Linked DNA regions of Rattus norvegicus. The protein of the gene in region 2 purifies or fractionates together with the protein of the main gene of each other region. This does not show direct contact. Links are inferred from orthologs where the notes say so. Each region holds a gene or a part of one and is shown on either strand. Other genes may lie near its edges.

Region 1 (11,592 bases), on a different chromosome or scaffold from region 2:
CTATGCCCACTGAGAAATTTCATCAGTCCAGTCTTTTGAAATAAGGTCTCACAGAGCCCACTGAGTCACTGGGTTCTAGAGATCTTTGGAAAGCAGAATGAGGTTATCAGGGGTGATTCAGTTTCTCCAGTATAGATAGATGGCCCTTCAACAGAGTGAGGAGGACCCCCCTCAGAGGCTCTCTTTGACACAGAATGCATTTGAAACCTAAGACCCACGGCGAAGTCAGGCACCGGTCCCCACACCCTGTGCAGAACCACTTACCTCCAGAGCCCAAGAATCGTTTGCCATCGGGGACTGTGGGATACTTGGCCTCCAGCCTCCGGTCAGGGTAGATAAGCTCCTCTGCTGAGAAGACCACCCGGCTCTTGGCCTGCTGGAACTTCTTTAAGAGTTCCCGGGGTCCCGAGGCAAACACCACGTCATAGCTGTGGCCAAAGCAAGAAGGTGCTCCAGAGAGAGCACCCACAGGGGGACACAGGGATCAGGACCCCCTCACATCCTATGCCAGCCACCATCTGAGAGACAGATCTGCACACCGCCACATACTGCTGTCTGCCCCATTTCCATGTCATATTAAAACTGGTTCCTCTGTCATCTTCGGCCGCTCACACCTCTTATCTCTTCCCCAACAGGAGTATTGGCTTACATCAGAGAGACATACCCTGGGCTCTTCTGACCTTAGATAAGCTTAGCAAGGGAGCCTCCTGATGTCCAGGAAAGGTCTTACTTGGGACCCCGCCCCTAACACCACTCCGAACTCCCAGGACCCGATTCCCCGCACACCCACCTGTCAACGAAGAGAATAACCAGGTCTTCCTTGTCTGCATACTTTTTCAGTGCCTTCTTCAGCAGCCGAACCTTCTGTCCTCCACCTGCTGCCGATGGTCCCCCGGCCGCGCTCCAGTCCTCCCCCAGGCCCAGTGACTGCAGAGAGAGGCCCCCAGCTTTTGGTGGAGAAATATTCTCCCACCCAGTTTGAGCAGTGGCTATCTTTGCTTCCATACCAGGTGATGCCAGTGGTGGTCATGTGACCGTGCATAAACATTCGCTACATCCACACTCCTTCGGCCCCTCCCACAGCTGGAGCTTTGAGCATATAATCCAAACATGGCCTATCAGAGTCTTCCCTGGGACCATTGTTAAAATTAAGGCAAGGATGTCATGATTGGCTGAGGTTGAAAAGGTTGTGGTATAGGAGTCTACGGTTAGAGTCACCACAATGGAGAGAGCCTGTTTCTGGAGATGGGAAAATAAAGCCCTTTGATGCCTGGGACCCTGGATCTAGCAACGCCTGAAATAACACCCAGCTCTCTATAGGCCATGACTAGGCTGAGTGCGTCTCTGTCCCCAGTGCCCAACACTCAGAATGGCCCACTGAGGTGAGGGCTGACTTCCGGCAGGCAGGTCCCATAACGACATGAAGTCTATGCCCGGCAGACAAGCAGTGTACACACTCCAGAGAATGTATTTAGACCACATCCACTAAGATGTGGGATTGTGGGAGTGCTGGTTCCCAGGCTCTGCCATCTACACTACCACTCCCAGTGAGGCCGGTGCACACTGCCATCCGGGTACCAGTCCGCATCTCTCTAGCCTCCACTCTCCCTCTCGTTCACCTCCTAGAATCTACTCACACTCCGCCCTTCATCCTAATCCAAGCTCACTCTTTGGCCCCTGGGAAGCTGCCTCTTGACATCTAAATCTGTCCCAAGAGCCCTAACTGTGGGAAGGAGATGCCCCAGCCCCTGGACTCCCCCCCCCACACACATATATACATGTCACACACCGTCTCTGCCTTTCCCAGGAAGCCCTCACCTGGATCTTGTAGTTGAAGAACTGGGCTGAGCGCTTGAATCGGCGGAAGCCCTCTGTCTCTTTTGTGGCCACGGTGAGGACCAAAAGGTTGTCTGTGGACAGAGAAGGGGGTGGTGAGGAGAAAGGAGGACATGAGCCTTGAACGGTGGCCTTCATCACACCACTACAGTCAAGGGCTCAGGCTATGCCACGGACCATCTAGTGGGGTAAGGAAAAAAACAGGGATGTAACCCTTGTCTCCCAATTCCCTCCCTCGGCGTCCTTGTATGTAGAAATTGACAAATATGTCAGGCAGCAATGGGGGTAGGGGTGCACCCTGCCTTGTGAAACAAAGTCTCTGGCTTTAGAGGGTGCAGGCATCACGTGGGGTGGAAGGGAGGATACCCTGAGCGCTGACCATGGGAGGATCTCTCTGGCCGGTGCTGGGCATTAGTCTGGGGATGGCAAGTACAGGATTCAGAGGCTGCTTCCTCTCTACGCATGCACCAAGGGTGGACATACTCATCCACTCTGGTCCTTCCCAACCCTGCATAGCTGACTCTCCCAATGCCATGTTTCCAGTTCAGGCTGCCTGAGGTAGAGACCAACTTAAAGTCCACCCATCTGTCCATGTCTGTGGCCAGAGGAGCTCATACCATCTCTCCTCCCTCTCATTTTGAAAATGGTTCTCATGTGACCCAAGCCCATACCCAACTCAACAGGTAGCAAAGCTGTCCTTGCATTTGTCTCTCGGACTTCCTACCTCCACTCCCAAACGCTGAGATTCCAAGAATGCACTACCAACATGTCTGGCTTTGTTACTACCTTCTTAACAAGGGACCTCAGCCAGGTCTGCAGGGCGACTTCACCTCGGCAACAGAACGTGCTAGAAGCAATTGCCAAGACAGCGTCTATGGGAGTCCCCAGCATCCCCTGTAGACCCTATTGTGAGGCTGTGATGCTTGAGAAGGGAGGGTAGGGGCTGGCCTGCCAGCTTAGATCCTAACACTGCCTTACAAACTATGTGACCCAGGGCAAGGCCCTGAAACTCAGTTCTTTATTGTCCTTATTCAGTAAGGACAATAAAGTGCCTGCCTTTCGGGGCTGCTAGACACTTGGCACACAATGAGAGAAATCAGTGGGGTTGACCAGTGAGGGGGATGCCTTGTCCAGTATCCATGGCTCTGTGTGGCTAGAGGGTAGACTCATTTTATGGTTTGTGTATGACTTTTCTTCAGCCTGAGTCTTGCTGATGGCTTCTGTCCTTCTTGCCAAAAATCCCAGGGCCAGTCAGACATACTAGCACCCCTTTCCTTCCTCTGCTATCAACCCCTGTGATTCCCACTCAGATGTTTGCCCATGGAGGTTGAGGGACAGGCCCACTATTCAATGGCTGGTATGGCTCCTCTGAATCCAGAACTCCCATTTATGTAAATGAACAGGACAACACACACACACACATACACACACACACACACACACACACACACACACACACTCAAAAACAAACCAAATAGTAACAATAACAACAAACTAGTCAGGCCAGCAGCAGGCAGGTAAGACCTTTCCCTTCCCACCTCTTGACATCAGGAGTTTGAGCTGAGAGAACAAAGGAAACCAGGTCTCCCAGCTGCTTAGGCAGGAAGTTATCCCCTGCAGCAAGGGATCAGTGCCAGAACTCAAAGCAGGAATTGGCAGGACCCGGTGGGATGGGTTCAGGGGCCTGGGCAGGAGCAGATGATGCCATAAACAGCTGTGGAAGGGGTTGGAGAAATGGCTCAGCAGTTAAGAGCGCTGACTGCTCTTCCAGAGGTCCTGAGTTCAATTCCCAGCAACCCCATGGTGGCTCACAACCATCTGTAATAGGATCTGATGCCTGGTGTGTCTGAAGACAGCGACAGTGTACTCATGTACATAAAATAAATCTTTTAAAAAAAAAGAAAAGAAAACAGCTGTGGAGGGGTAACCTCCCCACTTGGCCCTGGGGGCCCAGAGAAGAAAGCTGCTGCCTCTCACAAGGGAGGAAGGGCTGCCAACGCTTGCCTGAAAAGTTAAGTCTCCCTGCAGGTGAGGAAAACCAGTCCGGTCATCAGCTCTGAGGCCCTCTTGCCAAAAGGGGGCAGGAAGAGCAGCATAGGCCAGCACATGCCTCGGCTGTCCCGGAACTCACTCTGTAGACCATGCTAGCTGGCATCGAACTCACACAGATCCACCTGACAGAGGTGCGCCCAGCCACGTTCACAGCACGCAGCATGGTGGAACAGCTGACTAAAGACAGAACCCTGAGCCACTGGGGTTTCTCCAAGCTCCCCTAGTACAGGTACCTTCTCCAGTCCACTGTCAAGCCCATCAGAGCTCTGGGCCACCCACATAGTGTCAACAGGAGTTATAGGTTGATTGGGATAGCACCCCCACCCCCACCCCACTCACATCCCCCATCCCCGCCCCCAAGGCCTGTTTTGTCTGCTCAACAGCCACGAAAACCAAATGGGCCTGGCACCCTGAAAGCTCAGCCCTCCCCACCTGCTGCCCAAAGTCCGGCGATGATCTCCTCAGATGGACAAACTGTGACCCCAGTCAGCAGAGGTGAAAGAGGGGTGGTAGAGCAAAGCGGTAAGAGCAGACGGCTCAGCAGGGGATTGACCCTCCCCATGCCTCCGTGTCCTCAACTGCACCATAGGAACCGTGGATAAAGGAGCCCTCTCTCAGAGATTAATGTGAAGGCTCAATGAGTATCTTAATTACTGGGTGTCTGTGAGGTGATGCCTCCATTCTTGGCACGGAGGGGTACCCTTCCAAGAGGGGGAGCTGAGTACCCTCAGGCACCGGCTTTCACCTGCCGCTGCTGGGTCAGGATGAAGGACCGTGTCCTCAGTAGTGAGGAGCATCTCTGACCCCCTCCCACTCTGGGCGGAAGCTCTTGTAACTTGGATGGTCTGGGTAGAAGGGCATACACCAGCAGAAGCAGGAGAGCACGTGAGACAGAGAAGAGGTGGCTTACCACAGGGCCCCAGGCTCCCGTCACTGGGTGGACCAGGCTTTTGCACACTTTACCAACCCCGTGGTCGCGTCGGACTTACCAAATAGTCTCTCATCCATCTTCCTTCCACGCCAGATTAGACCCTACAGAAAACTAGCTGCTCTGAGCTGGGAAAGAATGCCCAGAGCCTTGACTTTACGGGGACTCAGGGACCAGCCTCATCTGAGGAATCTCTCGTGATCTCTGGGAATGAGGTATTGCCACCCTGTGTATCGGTCTAGAATACCAAGCTTCTCAAAGACTGTGCATCCCCAATGTAACCAGTGGAAGGTGTGTGATCCTGTGTCTAATAGCATGGATGCAGCAGGCATTCGAAAACCAGTGGTTCCCAGCACATGGGTCTCAAAGCCTTGGGGTTTTTTGGTTTTTGTTTTTTGTTTTTTTTTTTTGGGGGGGGGGTTGTTTGATTTTGGTTTTGGCCAGGGTCTCATGTAGCCTAGACTGACCTCAACCCTTTGTGTAGTAGAGGATGACTTTAACGTCTGATAATCCTGCTCCAACCTTCCTCAGTACTGGGGTTATAAGCACGCACAGCCATGTTTTACTTTATGCAGTGCTGGGAACCAAACCCTGGGCTGCATGCAAGCTAGGCAAGCGCTCTTACCCACAGGGCTCACCCACCAGAGTCCGCCACTCTCCTACCACCCACCACGACTAGGCCAGCTCCCAGGTCTCCAGGAGGATGGGCAGAAGGAAACAGGATGCCCTAGAGAATGTGGCTGGTTTGGTTTTGCCTGTCTGGGTGGTCCACAGTCTGTTCTCCTGGGATGGGGTGGGGTCTCAGACAGCAGGACTGGGGGTGGTCTAGTCCAGCATGGGCTGGGGGGACAGGATAGTGGGGCAGTCGGGACACAGTTCAGAATCCAGTAGCCCTTGGAGAAGCAGAATGAGCACTGGCTGCGAGTTCAAGCGACCTGGGACCAACCACTCCCGGCTGCATGCCTCGCTAAGCTCCTTCACTCCAAATCCCCTTACTCTAAAGATAACAAGAACTCAAGGCTGGGCTCCGGAACCAGACACACCCAGAGAGGTAGATAAAGCCATTCCCAATGCCCACAAGCTGTGTGCCCTTCGGGAGAACCAATCAACTCTGGAGCCTCAGTTTGTGAAGCTAGAAAATGGGGTTAAACATAAGATAACACTTACAGCAAACGTGCTTAACTGGTGCTTAACTGGTGAGGCCCGGCTACTGTAGGAGCCTTGCTACTTAATATGGGAACTGTGATTGATCATGGGCTCCTCTGGGAGCCAAATGAGGTTAGGGGGCGCGCGTGGGTGGATGAGGGGTGTACTCCGGCTGTCCTCTCCTCTGCTCGCAGGACAAACCTAGGAATCCCGACCCCATGAGAGGAAGTGATCTATCGGAGTCACCCGCGGGCAAGTGGACAGATGACCAAGACCCAGTTCCCCCCGCCCTTCCAGCCCAGGTCGCCTGGACACCCGGGTCCTCGGCGAGACAGCCTGACACAGCTCCGCCACCGCGCCCTCACCCTCCAGCTTGGCGTCGTCCTTCGCCTGGGCCAGAAGAAGCCAGGCCAGCGAGGCCAGGAGCAGCAGGGACCGCATAGTCGAGTCTTGGAGACGATCCGCCGGCACTGAAACACAAGCTGAACTGGAAACTTCGCGATGGGGCGGGCGAGCGCTGCCACGCACTGGGGCCCGCCCCGGGGGCGGTGCCCCGCACTCCTCCGCCCGCCTCCGGGTAGGGTCTTCCTGCTTAAGCTTGCGGGTCTTCCAGACCTGGGGCAGGTCACTGTGGCCCCTTAGTCCTGTTGCCGGACTGTCCATGCCCCATACACCTCCAAGTGGGCGATGAAGGCGAGGCCTTGATGTCTAGAAAAGGGTGCTTAACACCATGCACAGCGATGATGGGATCTGTAGAGCATTTCAGTGTCTCTTAGAGATTTCATTTTCTTTATGCGTTCCCCAAATTCCAGAGGTGAGCGGTTAAGCCTAGAGTGGACACAGTTGTTGACACCTCTGCAGACGCTGGAACTGTTAGGGAAAAAAAAAAAGAGTCTAGCCCCAGCTCCCAAAAGGGAATCACTTAATTCAACTTTCCGCCCCTTGAAAGGAAATCTGAAAATAGTCAAGGAAATTCTGGCTGCAGAGGTTAATTGTGGGATGGACGGGGGTGTAGATGGATGGGTGGGTAAGTGGATGGATGGATAGATGAATGGATGGATGGATGGATGGATGGATGGGTGGATGGATGGATGGGTAGGTGGGGTGGGTGGACGTGGATGAATAGCAGTTAAATGGATGGAGTGAAATTTTTCAATGCCATTCATTGACACTCAAAGTAAAAGCTGATCAAAGGTTTCTGGGGCAAGAGCTCCTGGTCCAGATGTCAGCCATGTACGTTCGCCTCTGAATAAAATCCGACAAGCCACGGAAGAGAGCTCAGACAGGGACCCTGGAACCTCTTTCCCACAGATTAGACTCTAGGGCAGGGTTGGGGGGGGGCTTGAAGGAATCAGGAAGTTGGGAAGAAGTGGACTTTCACAGAGGAAACACTATCTACAGAATGCTACTCGGGAAAAGCTGTCTCTTCAGTACGAGTCTTTGTCAAAGACAGACTACTCTCAGCCTTGTAGATAGGTAAAATCAGTGCTGGGTGGGGTAGGGTGGGGTGTGCCTAAATCCTAGCACTTGGGAAGTAGAAGAGCTCCATTGCCCAAAGCCGGCCAGAGTTGCACAGCCAGACCCGGTCAGGAAAGAGAGAAGGAAGGGGAGGGTCAGTCAAACTAGAATGCCTGCACTCAGGAGGTGTAGCAGGATCAGGAGTTTGGGACATGCTCAGCCATGCAGCTGGTGACTATATAGCTTGAGGCCAGTGTGGACTGAGTGAGACCCTAACAACACCCATTCACCTCCAACCAAAGAAAGGAAGTCACAGACAAACGTTGGCAAAGATTACTTCCAGGTTGTGGTATAAACCGGTGCATAACTTACACAGCATTTCTAGGTCATATTACTGTGGAGAATTCTTTTCTTATTTCTCTCTCTCTCTCTCTCTCTCTCTCTCTCTCTCTCTCTCTCTTTTGTTAAGAAAGATGTACAATATTTGTATAGTTTTAGAACTTGTGTCCTTTCTCGAAAATGAGAACCGGCTGGAAGACGGGAGTCCGCCTCATTGTGCAGAGGCTCACTCACACTCTCAGACTGTAGGGGGCCCAGGGCTCTCCAGCAGCAAGCTCGAAGTCACAAGACAAACCAGAGGAAGAGACCTCAGCAGAATGCAGAACATTGGCTTCCCAGCTGGGACTTAGGGCCAGGAGCTGCTGCAGCTGGAGACAGGACTTGGTGCCAAAGATCCACCAGCGTCTACCGGGTGTTTTAGACTCAGAAGGCCGAGGACTGAGATTTCCAAACCCCCAAAGGAGGAAATGCAAGTGTAAATGGGGGGTGGGGGGGGGAGAAGCAGCCAGCCTGTGTTGGCTGGCTCAGTTTTCAAAGCTCTTCTTCATGCTTGTAACTGTTTGCAAAAGGAGAAACTAAGGCTCGGAGAAGCATTATCTGCTTGGCATCACACACGTGACGTGGGGCCGCAGTAAGGAAGCATCAGACAGCTCCCAGCTAGAACTGCCTTTTTGCCAGAGTCCACGGAGACCCTCACCAGTGATATACCCCAGATAGAAGACATTCCTGGGCAGTCATCAGAGTCTAAATTAAAAGAGGGATGGGCTCTAGAAACTGCCTGAACCTTCAAGAGGAAGGGTTCACTCTTGTAAAGCCCGACTTTACACGCTTCTGGTATCTGTTTCCTGTTTGGTTCATCGAATTGCTAGAACTTGAACACCGTCCAAGATTCGTGTACGGCGGCCTGTTTCTTTAAGCAGGGGTGGTGGCTGCTGTCCAGATGTTGCTTCTCGAATTTCTAGTACGTGCTCCACGTGCTTTGGACTGTTAAAGGCGCAGGACTCCACTTTGCGCAGACGCCGGAGAGGCTTCCTCTTGTCATCCACTAAAAAGAGAGGCTGGAGAGATGGTTGGGCAGTTAAGAGACTGGCAGCACCACTTCCAGGGATCCCGCACCATCTTCTGACTTAGACATACAATATGCACATGGAGTTGTCTGTTCTCTCATTCCACCATGTAGGTCCTAGGTACAGAAGTCATCACACTTCCTGGCGAATGAATGCCTTTACCTACTGAGCCATCTTGCCATTAGATTTTTATTTTAATTTTGAGGTTCTGGGAAATCGCTTGTGCTCTGTTCTGAGCTAAAACTCTGCCAAAGGGGGGAGGGGAGTGTGATTTTTTTTTAAAGATTTATTCATTTATTATGTATAAGTACACTGGCTTCAGACACACCAGAAGAGGGCATCAGATCCCATTACAGATGGTTGTGAGCCACCATGTGGTTGCTGGGAATTGAACTCAGGACCTCTGGAAGACTAGTCGGGTGCTTTTTTTTTTTTTTTTTTTTTTTTTTTTTTTTTGGTTCTTTTTTTCGGAGCTGGGGACCGAACCCAGGGCCTTGCGCTTCCTAGGTAAGCGCTCTACCACTGAGCTAAATCCCCAGCCCCTCGGGTGCTCTTAACCGCTGAGCCATCTCTCCAGCCCGTGATTGTTTTGTTGTTTACTTTGAGATAAAGTCTCACTGTGTAGACAGGCCAGCCTTGAACTCACTAAAATCCATCTACCTCTGCCTCTTCAAAGAATCAGATTAAAGACATGTACACAATACCTGGCTAAAAATGTGCTATTGAGCTTTGGGGCATTTGTTTGTTTGTTTTTTTTCTTTGTTTAGTTTAGTTTTTCAAGACAGGGTTTCTCTGTGTAGCCCTGGTTGTCCTGGAACTCTGTAGACCAGACTGGCCTCCAACTCCGAGATCCACCTGCCCCTGTCTCTTAAGTGCTCGGACTAGAGGCATGTGCCACCACTGCCGGGCTCTTAGCATGGATTCTTGTGTGAAAATAAAAACGGGTAAAAGCTGGACATGTGCCTTTAATTCTAGCGACTGGGAATGCTGAGAAAGAATCTTTGGGGCCTAGGAATTGTTTGAAGTCCAGTCTGGACAATACAAGAGAGATCCTGTCTCAAAGATGAACAAAAAAATAAAGTAAAAGCAAAACAGGATGAGCATTCTTCCAATGCGACGCGGGCTCACAACTTCAGCAAACAACTTTCTGTCTGCTTACAGCCCACTAGAAACCACCTCAAGTGACCGTTTAATTGTCAACTGTGAATTTGCAACAGCCCATCTAGCTCTGGATTGCTCAGACTCCAAAATGGGAAACAATCGCCCGTTGTCTGCCTAGAATCCAAAGTGGAAACAACCACCCACTGTCTGCTCCAGGGCTCCAGTCGATTCCCAGGCCGCGCCGCCCCTCCCCCCCATATGGATGCTGTAGGTCATGTCAAAGTATGAGAAAAGTATGTTTCGTGTTATTGAATGAGTTAAAACTGTTATTGAATGAGTTAAAGATGGACCTTAAGAAAACTACTTGGTGTGTTTAAGAAACAGGCATTCCTGAGCTGGATTTATGTCCCACTCTGGTGTACTCAACAGCCAGGCAGGTTTGAAACGCTGCCGACAAAATATTTCCTTAGGACATCGTTTTTCAGTGGCTACCCTTCCTCCTCCTCTTCCTTCCCTCTACACTTCATTCCTCCCTGTCTCCTTTCCTTCTTTCCTTCCTTCCATTTACCTCTATGTCTTTTCTTCATTCAGTTAAAAATAGTTTACAGAAACAGTACGTTTTTATTTTTTAACTTTAGGGCTGTTGAAACCATCAGCAGCTAACGAGGCGCAGCTCTCGTTGGGTTTGGCTTGCTCTCTGATTTTCTTTTCTCTTTTTTCCACCAAGCCATTTGGATTCCTGCCCACATTTTGCCCCGCCCTGCCCCCGCCCGGCCACGCCCTCAAAGAAACTCCGCCCCTTCCCCAAATCCCGCCCTTGGCCGCTTTTCCACCTTGTCGCAAAAAAAAAAAACTCAGCGATGCTTTACGGCCGGCGGCGTTTGACGTCTAGGAGGCAACCAAGAAGAAGGAGGAAGCGGTGAAGGTGGCTGCTGGGGCGGCTACGGTGGGCTTTGAGGTGGGCGCGGCGACGCGGCCCGGGGAGTGAGCGGCGGCGGCCGGGCGGGAGGGCTGGGCGGCGGGCCCGATGTGGCTGCAGCAGCGCCTGAAGGGGCTGCCGGGGCTGCTGTCGAGCAGCTGGGCCCGCCGCCTCCTCTGCCTGCTCGGCCTCCTGCTGCTGCTCTTGTGGTTCGCGAGCTCCGGGGCGCGGCGGGCGGCGGGTGGCCTGCACCTGCCGTCCTGGGCCCGCAGCGAGCCGGGCGCCGCCGAGCCGTCCGCCTGCCTGGAAGCGGCCACCCGCGCGTGGCGCGGCCTGCGTGATCGCGGCGAGGCGGTGCCGCTGGGCCCCGGGGTGCCAGCTCTGGTGGCCAACGGCTTTCTGGCTCTGGACGCTGCCAACAACCGGCTGTGGGTGACGCCCGGAGAGCGGGAGCCTGCCGTGACGCCGGACTTCGTGCCCTTCGTGCAACTACGCCCGCTGAATGTGGTGGCTGAGGCTGGAGAGGCGGTGCTGCTGCTGCGGGAGGGCCTGCTGCGCCGAGTGCGCTGCCTGCAGCTGGGAACCCCGGGCTCAGGCCCTGCCGCTGGTGTCCCCGGGCCCGCCTCAGCCTCCGGGCTGTCCACGGGTTCAGGCCGTGACTGCGTGCTACTGCAGGAGGACTTCCTGGCGCACCGAGGCCGACCCCACGTCTATCTGCAGCGCATCCAGCTCAACAATCCCACGGA
Region 2 (10,690 bases):
TATTCATTCCTGGCTGACCTGGAACTCCCTCTGTCAAGCAAGCTGGCCTCAAACTCAGACCTGCCTGTCTCTGCTTCCAGAGTGCTGGGATTAAAGGCACATGCCAGCCCACCCATCTCAATAAGTCACTTTTTAAAAAGATTATTTATTTATTTAAGTGTTCTCTTTGCATGTATGCCTTCTGCATGACAGAGAGGGCATCAGACAGAACAGAGCATTGGATCCCATTAATAAATGATCATGAACCACCATATGGTTGATGGGAATTGAACTCAGGACCTCTGGAAGAGCAGCCAGTGCTCTTTAGCAAGCTCCTCAATAGGTCATTTTAAGAGTTTGCTCGTAGTACCCCTTTCCTTCTGTTTGAATGCTCCATTTGCCTGGGTGATAGGTCTGAAACAGCTGCAATGACATGTTTAAAATCCATAGGTGATACATATATATGTATATCTATCCTCCCTTCTGTACACCCAGAGCCATAATGTACCATAATGTCTTAAGGTTTGGGGGAGGTACATGTCACATAGTACTATGAATACTGAATCCTGAATTGTGCTTATGAACCAAACAAGAGTCTAGGGTATGTATAGAACCCTCAGGATCCCATCTCTTTCGTTATAGTCTTGTCTTTGGAGTTTTGTACCCTTTCATTTTGTGTCCCATTAGAGTTTTTATAGATCCTAGATCTGAGTCCTGGAACAGAATCAGGATAGTTTGTTTCCATTCACCCTTCTGTCTCCAGTTGATACACTTCATCAGCCAGTCCTTCTGTGTATTTGCCTTCTATGTAGTCTGTATTTGCACTTACCTTTGGGGCAACACACAGTTCTCCTTCTCCAGACTTAATTGGTTCTTCCATGGCAGAACTGAGTACTGGATGTGGCCCCTAAAACATGTTTGAATGTATAAATACCCATTAAGCCTTTTCCATTTATCTTTTAGGCTTTAATAGTTCTGTATTTTATTGACTTGCATTCATTGTTTATATTCTTAGGCTATGGATGGATTTGTTGTATCATCTCATGAGTATTGTCTTTTGATTTAAAGAATATTTTCATTTTTATATATAATGGAATGTAGTTACACTTTGTTATATTTAGTTCTAATTTTCTCTGTGTGATGTTAATATATTGGCTCAGTGCAGAAAATTTAGAATATTTGAAATTATCTAAAGGAAAAAAGTATCCATGGAAACAAAAAATTCCTATAATACTGTTAACCAGAAATAACCACCATAAATTAATTATACCTGATACATAATAGAAATGAAATAAGTACCCTCGAAGTGAATGAATTAAAAGTTTTATGCAGTCTTTGTTCATATAGCTCCTTTGAAAATCTTACTGATAAGAACTTGTAAAATAATAGTTTTCTTTGTTTCTCTTACTCTATTGTATACACTTTTTCATGACAATAGTTTTCTAATTTTTTTAAAGCCACATTGAAATTGCATTGAGCCAAGCTTGCCACCAAGAGTCCATCAGTCACCATGATGCTGAGCACAGAGGGCAGGGAGGGGTTCGTGGTGAAGGTCAGGGGCCTACCCTGGTCCTGCTCAGCCGAGGAAGTGATGCGCTTCTTTTCTGATTGCAAAATCCAAAATGGCACATCAGGTGTTCGTTTCATCTACACCAGAGAAGGCAGACCGAGTGGTGAAGCATTTGTCGAACTCGAATCTGAAGATGAAGTGAAATTGGCTTTAAAGAAAGACAGAGAAACCATGGGACACAGATATGTTGAAGTATTCAAATCCAACAGTGTTGAAATGGATTGGGTGTTAAAGCATACAGGTCCAAATAGTCCTGATACTGCCAATGATGGGTTTGTACGGCTCAGAGGACTCCCATTTGGCTGTAGCAAGGAAGAAATTGTTCAGTTCTTTTCAGGGTTGGAAATTGTGCCAAATGGGATGACACTGCCAGTGGACTTTCAGGGGCGGAGCACAGGGGAAGCTTTTGTGCAGTTTGCTTCACAGGAGATAGCTGAAAAGGCCTTAAAGAAACACAAGGAAAGAATAGGGCATAGGTACATCGAGATCTTCAAGAGTAGCAGAGCTGAAGTCCGAACCCACTATGATCCCCCTCGAAAGCTCATGACTATGCAGCGCCCGGGTCCTTATGATAGGCCAGGGGCTGGGAGAGGGTATAATAGCATTGGCAGAGGAGCTGGGTTTGAAAGAATGAGGCGGGGTGCCTATGGTGGAGGGTACGGAGGCTATGATGACTACGGAGGTTATAATGACGGGTATGGTTTTGGGTCTGATAGATTTGGAAGAGACCTAAACTACTGTTTCTCAGGAATGTCTGATCATCGATATGGAGATGGTGGGTCCAGTTTCCAGAGCACCACAGGGCACTGTGTACACATGAGGGGGTTACCATACAGAGCCACTGAGAATGATATTTACAATTTTTTCTCACCTCTTAATCCCATGAGAGTACACATTGAAATCGGACCTGATGGCAGAGTCACGGGTGAGGCAGACGTTGAGTTTGCTACTCATGAAGACGCTGTGGCAGCTATGGCAAAAGATAAAGCAAATATGCAGCACAGATATGTGGAGCTCTTCCTGAATTCTACCGCAGGGACGAGTGGAGGAGCTTATGATCATAGCTATGTAGAGCTCTTTTTGAATTCTACAGCAGGGGCAAGCGGTGGTGCTTATGGCAGCCAGATGATGGGAGGGATGGGTTTATCCAACCAGTCTAGTTATGGAGGTCCAGCCAGCCAGCAGCTGAGTGCTGGCTACGGAGGTGGTTATGGTGGTCAGAGCAGTATGAGCGGATATGACCAAGTTCTTCAGGAAAACTCAAGTGACTATCAGTCAAACCTTGCTTAGGAAGAGAGGAAGCATCAAAGAGCATCTACAGGAATAAAAAGTACATTATAGGAACTGGATAGAGTAGGGAGGATGTCCAGCATATCCAGTATGATTGGTAAATGGGAAATACAATTGCTTCTGATCACTATTGGTCAGCTTCTTTCTTTCTTCTTTCTCCTTTTTTTTAAAGAGAACAAAATTTAAGTTTAACAGTTTCGCATTACAAGCTTGTGATTCATGCTTACTGTAAAGTGAAAGTTACGATTGTTTTCAAACTTTAAGCTCAGCAATTTTGAACACTGAAAATATTCATCTAGGATGTAATAACAAGTTCAGTATTGACCATAACTGTCAATTCCACTTTCAGCTTTCCTCAAGTTAGTTATGTTGTAGGAGTGTACTTAAGCAGTAAGCATCTTTAGGTTTAAAGCAGTTTCACTTACGTTAAATGTTGCTCTTATACCACAATACATCGAAAACTTCAGATGCATGTTGAGAAACATGCTTTTCTGTAAAAAATATAGGAGCTGTGTCTGATTCAAAGTGACATTTGGCATGTTTGTTAATTCTAGCTTTTTGGTTTAATATCCTGTAAGGCACGTGAGTGTACACTTTCACCTTTTTTTTTTTTTTTTTTTTAAAGATCCGGGACAATTTTGAGATGTGATACCAATACATTAGGAGTTTGGTCATGTTATTTGTATGGAATTCTGGGGCTTTGATTTAAATCTTACCTTGTATTGTGAATTCCATTTAGATGTATTGTACTAAGTGAAACTTGTTAAATAAATCTTCCTTTTAAAAACTGGAAAAATCTTGCATAGTTTGATTTTTTTTTAAATCATGTTCTATTATATGGGCACACAGTAACTGGCTTTTAAAATTGTCTGCTATTGAAATTTTCTTTTCTCAAATATTCCAGGATGAATGGTTCAAGTTTTGATCCTCCTGCCTCTGCCTCCTGAGTATTGGAATTGCAGTCATACATCACTGTCCAGTTTATGCGGTGCTGGGGAATAACCCAGGGCTGCTTGCATACATGACAGGAACTCTACCAACAAGGCTATAGTTATAGCCTAAATTTTGGTTTGTGTGTTTGAGTGTTGGTAGAGGGCAGAGAAGAAGATTGGATATCCTTTTCTAAATACCCTGCCTATAGTCTAGGTGACAGGGTCTTTCACTGAGTCTAGAGCTAGGCTGGCAGCCAGGAAGTCCCAGTGATCTGCCACTGCTGTGTACAGCACTGGGGTTATAGTCACTGCTCTTGCTGGGTCATACTTTGTGAATGACCATAGCTGCTGGCCTTTTTCATGGCTGCTGGAGTTGTGAACGCAGCTTGCTCAGCTAGCACTCATTTATTTTTGATTCTATGTAGTTCCAGGTGTCCTAGAAAACTAGACCAGGCTGGCCTCGAACTCACAGAGATCCACCTGCTTCATCTTCCTAAATGCTGGGTTTAAAAGTGTGCGTGTGCATACCATGCCTGCTCCCCCTCCCCCCAATCTCTCCTTCCTTTCCTTCCTTCCTTCCTTTGGCTGGCCTTGGACTCACAAAGATCCACCTGCCTCTGTCTCCTCAGTGCTGGGATTAAGAGTACTGGGATTGGGACTGAAGAGATGGCTCAACAATTAAGAATACTGACTGCTGGGTTGGGGATTTAGCTCAGTGGTAGAGCGCTTGCTCCAAAAAAAAAAAAAAAAAGAATACTGACTGCCCTTCCGGAGGTCCTGGGTTCAATTCCCAGCAACCACATGGTGATTCACATCTGTAATGAGATCTGATGCCCTCTTCTGGTATGTCTGAAGACAGCTACAGTGTACTCATAGAATAAACATTTTTAAAGGACCGGGATTAGGGCTGGAGAGATGGCTCAGCGTTCAAGAGCACTGGCTGCTTGCCAGAGGATCCATGTTCAAATCCCAGCACCCACATAGCAACTCACAACTGTAACTCTAGTTCTAGGTGATCTAGCACCCTCAGACAGACATGAATGCAGATAAAACACCAAGATAGAAGAGTGCTGGGATTAAAGACATGTTTTGCCACCGCCTGGCCACAGAAAGCACTCTTACCCATTAAGATGCCTCTCCGTCCCTGCAATGTTTACTTAGTTAGAGACAGGGTTTCTCTGTGTAGCCCTGACTGTCCTGGAGTCTGTAGAACAAGTTGGCTTCAAACTCAACAATCTTCCTACCTCTGCCTCCGAAGAGCTGGGATTAAAGGTGTGTACCACCGCTGTATTTCTTAAAGGTTTTTTTAAACTAGAATTCCTGGAGACTTTGTGCTTTATCAAGACAACATTCCCAAAGTCCAAAGAAGTAGAAAGCAAGTGACTGCTTTCATTTGACCATGAATATGCTATGCCTCAGATGGAAAATAAAGCAGGCTATAGAAAAATCCTATTCTACACAAATTATTTGATAACACCTTTAAGTGCCTTTTATTTTTAGGGTTTTCAGACCTCTAAAGCTTAGTTGTGCTAAGAGTACTTGCGACCACATTTTGAAAACAGCTTAGGATTCTCTCACTCCTAAAGGTTTAACCCTGAAAGGAACTTAAGAAATAGTTGCATTTATGATCACGTGTTCTCTCCTTATTCATGGCAAGTAGCTCGACATTTCTGACATGCAAGCCATAGCTGATTGTTTACCATACCTTGCACCTCCCACGAGTATTCTGAGCACCTGCAGCACTTGTCTTGCGGTACCTTGCATGTCTGTATCCTGGTGGTTAGCAGTTTCACCTCTCATTGACCTGCAGTCCTGGACACCTCAGACCAGTAAAGGCTGCACACTAACTCTGTATTTCTGGATATATGACTGCTCAGGAACTGGACAGTTGTCTTTGAGCTGTCTATGCTCTGCATTTGTAGAGATACCCTGTGATGTAGGGTGCAGGTACCAGCTTCATATTAATTTGTACAGGATACTTTATTAAGTATGGTTTCTGGAAATTTAAAAGAATGGTACTGAGATTTGAGACTCACTGATGGTTTCTACTTAATATTTTTGGTTGGTTGGTTGATTTTTAAGTTGTTTGTAATTTCAAATACAGTTGGCAGGAGAGCAGGCAATCCGGTTTGACTTTTATGTCGTTGCACCTGTCACTATCTTTTTTTCCTAAGCACATTTTAGAACCCTTTCTCAGAGAAGTAAATTCAAGGTGGTGGTTTCTCCGTGCTGAGGAATTTTTCTAGAAGTTTCTCGAAGTATAAATGAAAAAGCTCCAGTTAGCCACTAGATGTCACCAAGTTCCCAAAAAGGAGAGCTGACTCCTGCGATGCTAGAAAGCCCTTTGCTACATTAAAATGGGGCCAGCAACACGGCTTTTGCAGATAAAGGTGCTCCCTGCCTGCCGTGCCTCTCAGTGTTTGATCCCTGGGGACCCACACCAAAGAGACCTATGCTGAGAGAATGAAACTCAGCAAGCTGTCCTCTCACCAGCTTCCTCTCATGTGGTATGTCCCCCACCCCTCAAAAAATAGTAAGAAACTCAGGCTCTGGGGAAGAGTGAAAGGAAAGAGTCTGGAGGACATATGTGCTCAGTCCTAGAGGTGGCAGAAGGACAATAGTACCAACACTGATCCCTGATCCCCGTATACTATACTTGTCTACAGGCACCCCCACTCCACCCTACCGCACACACTGCTAGTGACCCAGCATAAAAATTACCCAGGGAAGTATTATAGGAGGTAAACTGGATGTTCCGCTCTCCTGAGTCAAGCTACTTGGCAAGAGCAGCATACAGTTGTACGGTACAGTAATCATGGCCTAAAATTGTTCCCACAATAACTTGTGTCAGTGTTCCGGTGTGGTTTGTGGAGCAGCAGCAGTACAACCTCAGGCTTCCTTAAGAATGTGGCTTTTCAGAATTGGAACGATTGAGAAACTCAGGGTGAATCCCAACAAGCTGTGTTTTAATAAGTATGTAATGTGCTCTGCTAATGTGCTTATTTATGTGTGGGTTCTGTAAGCCACTGATCCATTCACTCATTCCGGACTTAATTCATCTGACCCTAAAATGGGTAACCAAATAGAATCATATCTAGAACCACAGAAGACTGTTGACTCATCCCCTAGCAAAGTAGTAAGAAAATGTGATGTCAAATTCATTTGTAAATCAAATACCTATCCGAGTGTACATATGCACACCAGAAGAGGGCATCAGATCCCATTTCAGGTAGCTGTGAGTCACCATGGGATTGCTGGGATTTGAACTCAGGATCTTAACTGCTCTTAACTGCTGAGCCCCAAGAAGATTTTTTAATGCTATTAGTAAAAATGATAGCAATTTTTTCCAAAATGGGCCATAAGGGCGATTGCCACACAACTGGTGATAAAGTGGAATTCCATTGGTTTGCCCAGTACCAGGCTGAGTGTCATGAGAGCTCTTTTGTAACCTGTTCCCACACTGACTGCAATTCAGTCTTGTGAATGGTATCCCCTTTCTTTCCTCCCTTCCTTTTCTGCACGTTAAAATAAAATTATTTTGTGTATATAGGTGGGGAGTTGCCTGGATGTTTATCTGTGGACCACTTGGGTATGTGGGAGTAGTGGAGAGGAGAGGAAACTGGAATGGACCATCCTGTGGATGCTGGGAACAGAACCTGGGCCCCCTAGGAGAGGTGTCAGTGTCCTTAACTGACAGTCTGCTTTCTCCAGCCCCAACCTAAGCTGGAGGACAGTTTTATTAGAGTCTAAAAGAAAACTCCCAGGGTAGCAAGCTGTAAATCTTGGGAGCTGCCAGAAGTGGGAAGGAAGATGGCGGGGAGAGGAAGTCATCCAGTTCGGGTTAGAGAAAGAGTGAAGCCCAGTTTCTTAGGGAAAGCATGCTTAGAAAGGAGATAGAAGAAAAGGACGTTTTACACTTTTTCTGAAAAGCCAGCCAGCTCACTGGTGCTCCATTAACTGAGTGTCCCATTTATCTTTTCCTAATGCTCTGTTTGGCCAATCTGTTAAGATATCCAGCTGTTTGCTTCTGGTTTTCTTTCTTTTATTCGTTTGTTTAGAGGTTGAGGGAGTCTGGGGATTGAACCTGGGACCTTGCCTACGAAGACAAAACCACTGAGATACATACCTAACCCTTTTGAAATAGTCTGATTGAATATTGCCAGTAACCATTTTCCAAGATCCTCTTTACCCTCTTGCTGCTACCCTTTGTGCTTGATCTGTTTCTCATATAAGGGGTGCTATTAGGTTTCATTGCCACCCCCACTTTAGAGATGGGGAAACTGAGTCTCAGGGACTCAACCATCTTGGGGAAAGAAAGTTGTGCTGGAGGAAAGCAGGAAATAATGTGGGTGGGGGAGTGAAGAACATGTCTGGGTTCCACGTGGGATGGTGTAGCGGCTCCTGGGAACTTGTGGGTGAGGATATCTCTGAGCAACGCAGGAACCACTCTCAGCTTTCCCAGCCCTCTCTCTCTCACTAGGGAGCTCACAGTAAGCAGGGGGGTGGGGGCCTGGGATAGGGAGGGTCGAGAGAATTTGGCCGTAATCCATTTCTTCCTCTCTTTCCAGATGGCTGGAGGCCCTTAAACAATCCACAGCCCCGCCCCCCCCCCCCCGGTCCCCCAGCACATTCCACTGCAAGGACCGGAGTTGGGAAAAGGCTGCCCGGAAATGGCGGCTAAAGCCTGGTGGGGGCTGGTACCGGGTCACTGAAGCAAATGGGGGAGTGGTCAAGACTGATGAGTGGCAGATGGTGGTGAGGCAAGGGAGCCCTGGAAGGTGTCTGCAGAGCGGAGAGAGGGATAAATACCACCTTTGTTAGCTATTGCTAAGCATCTGGAAAAACCCAGGCTTTCTATCTCTCCGGCCTTCTCAGACCCCTCCCCCTCCCCCAAGCAAGGCGGGAAAGCAGGCCAAAATGCAGCATAACCCAAGACAGGGAAGTCTGGAGAGCCACCCTCCCTACTAACTGCCACTGTGTGATCATCCCCATCTCCCATCCCCTCCTCCTGGGTTATCGGAGGCTCATTGGTTCCCTGGTCTGCCCCTTCAAGCAGGGACTCCCTGCACCCAGGGCAGCTCCAGAGAGTCGGTGGGAAGGGACACTGCAGCTACCTCCTCTAGAAGGTGTCACATTACCCTACGGAGCGCTCCTGTCTTGGCATGCAGGAAGCGGCAGAATACAAGTTTATTTTTCAGTTGAGTGTTGATCCAACGTTTATGGCTTGTGATTAATCTTTTTCCTTCTGTTCTTGAATCTCCTATCGATGGTGAGATCAAGGACAAACAGCTCACCAACTGTCACAACACCATATTGGAACTTTGAAGCATTCTGAAAACATGCTGGTTGTTTTTCTTTTTCTACCCATTGCACGTTCTTTTTCTCCTTTTAGATTTTTTCTTTCCTATGTAGCAAAATTCTTAAAAGCATATTTTACCACTCCCATCCACCCTCCCCTCCTTAGTTCACACTTACTTGTTCCCATTTTGCTTTGCTTTGTCTGAACTCAACATGACCTTAAACATGCAATCTCCTGCCTCCCGCTTCCAAATGCTGAAGTTCCAGGCCTGTGCTACCTTGCAGAGGTAGTCTAAACAGATTTCTGTGCTCTAAATCTTTCTGCACAAATAAGCTGAGCACTTTCTACTTGTCATTTTCGACCTATTTGACGTGTGTTCTTTAAAATTTTCCTGTTAAGCTGTACTCCTCCCCCTTTTGGTGGTGTGGGGGCTGGCACCTAGGGCTTTGCACAATCTAGGCATGTAGGGTTGTTGCTTTTGTGTGTGAGTGTGTGTGTGTCCGTGCATGTGTGTGTACATGTGTGCCTGAGTGTGTGTGTGTATGTGAGTGCGTGTGTATGTTTTATCATTAGATTGGCCATTAATCAGTAAATGTGATGACTTCCAAGAACTGCCTGTTGGTTAGAGGCTGAGGAATAGTTTAGAGGTAATAGGAATGCCCTAAAACGTACATTGTAGTGATGGTCTGAACAACACTGTAAGTTTACAAAGGACTGTTTCAGTAAGAATTTTTCGTTCCTTCATCAAATAGTCTCCCAGCCAGTGACACCCTCGCTCAGCTCCTTGGCTGTAAATCTATGCTATTGTTATATTTGGAATCGAGTTGTTCTATATTGAAATCCCTTTTCCTTTATTATAGGGGTTTGTACTAAAAAACCTATCTAGGGGGTGGAGAGATCGCTAAGAGACCAAGTTGCTCTTCCAGAAGAGTTGGGTTCAATTCCCAGAACATACATGATGGCTCCCAAAATAACTCCAAGGACTGTCGTCCACTTCTGGCCTTCCTGGGAACTGCACACACATGGTACACAGGTGTACATGCAAGCAAATCATCCTTTACATGTAAAATAATAAAATAACAATAAAAAACGACTTAAAATCTATCTTAAGCATTTTTTCTTTTGTGCCTGAGAAGACCAGCACTGTCGGATCAGTTCTCCTGTGTTCCATTCTCTCAAGAAAGATTCTCTCACAGAACTTGGGGTTCATCATTTCTCTTCAGTTAGGTTAGCTTGCCAGCAAGCCAGGCGGCCATGCCTATTTTTTTATAACATGGGTTCTGGGGATCCAAACGTAAGTTCTCATGCTTGCACAGTAATTACTCTTGCTCAGTAAGCTGCTTTCCAGTTCATATCTTCACTACTTTTAACCAATAAATAGCTCTTTTGGGAAAAAGACACTAGATACATTTCTGGTAATATATAGTCTGGCTTCCTAGAGAACAATTTTTTTTTTTTTATAGATTTAGTTTAGCGGGACATGGTGGCACATACCTTTAGGACCCGTACTTGGAAAGCAGAGAGGATCCATGTCTGTGAATTTGAGGCCAGCCTGAGCTACCTAGTGGTGAGTGCCAGGTCATCCAGAGCTTACATCTGTCGGAACACACACCTAAAACT

What was found.
Region 1: the proteins of Hnrnph2 (region 2) and Plod1 purify together in Homo sapiens (affinity purification with mass spectrometry; 3 studies listed by BioGRID and IntAct, counting the BioPlex papers as one, with this or other methods). This does not show direct contact. The link is inferred for Rattus norvegicus from reciprocal best matches to the Homo sapiens genes HNRNPH2 and PLOD1.

Annotation. Positions count from the first base shown.
Region 1 is NC_086023.1:163,644,287-163,655,878, forward strand, and holds the start of Plod1 (procollagen-lysine,2-oxoglutarate 5-dioxygenase 1 precursor), read right to left. Parts: upstream 6,452-11,592; 5' UTR 6,404-6,451; coding exon 6,328-6,403; intron 1,911-6,327; coding exon 1,819-1,910; intron 928-1,818; coding exon 791-927; intron 429-790; coding exon 265-428; intron 1-264. Other genes in the region: 2510039O18Rikl (uncharacterized protein KIAA2013 homolog), read left to right, coding at 10,955-11,592. UniProt on the Homo sapiens protein: Part of a complex composed of PLOD1, P3H3 and P3H4 that catalyzes hydroxylation of lysine residues in collagen alpha chains and is required for normal assembly and cross-linkling of collagen fibrils.
Region 2 is NC_086039.1:102,076,481-102,087,170, forward strand, and holds the end of Hnrnph2 (heterogeneous nuclear ribonucleoprotein H2), read left to right. Parts: exon of another isoform or gene 1-1,436; 5' UTR 1,437-1,489; coding exon 1,490-2,839; 3' UTR 2,840-2,966; downstream 2,967-10,690. UniProt on the Homo sapiens protein: This protein is a component of the heterogeneous nuclear ribonucleoprotein (hnRNP) complexes which provide the substrate for the processing events that pre-mRNAs undergo before becoming functional, translatable mRNAs in the cytoplasm. Binds poly(RG).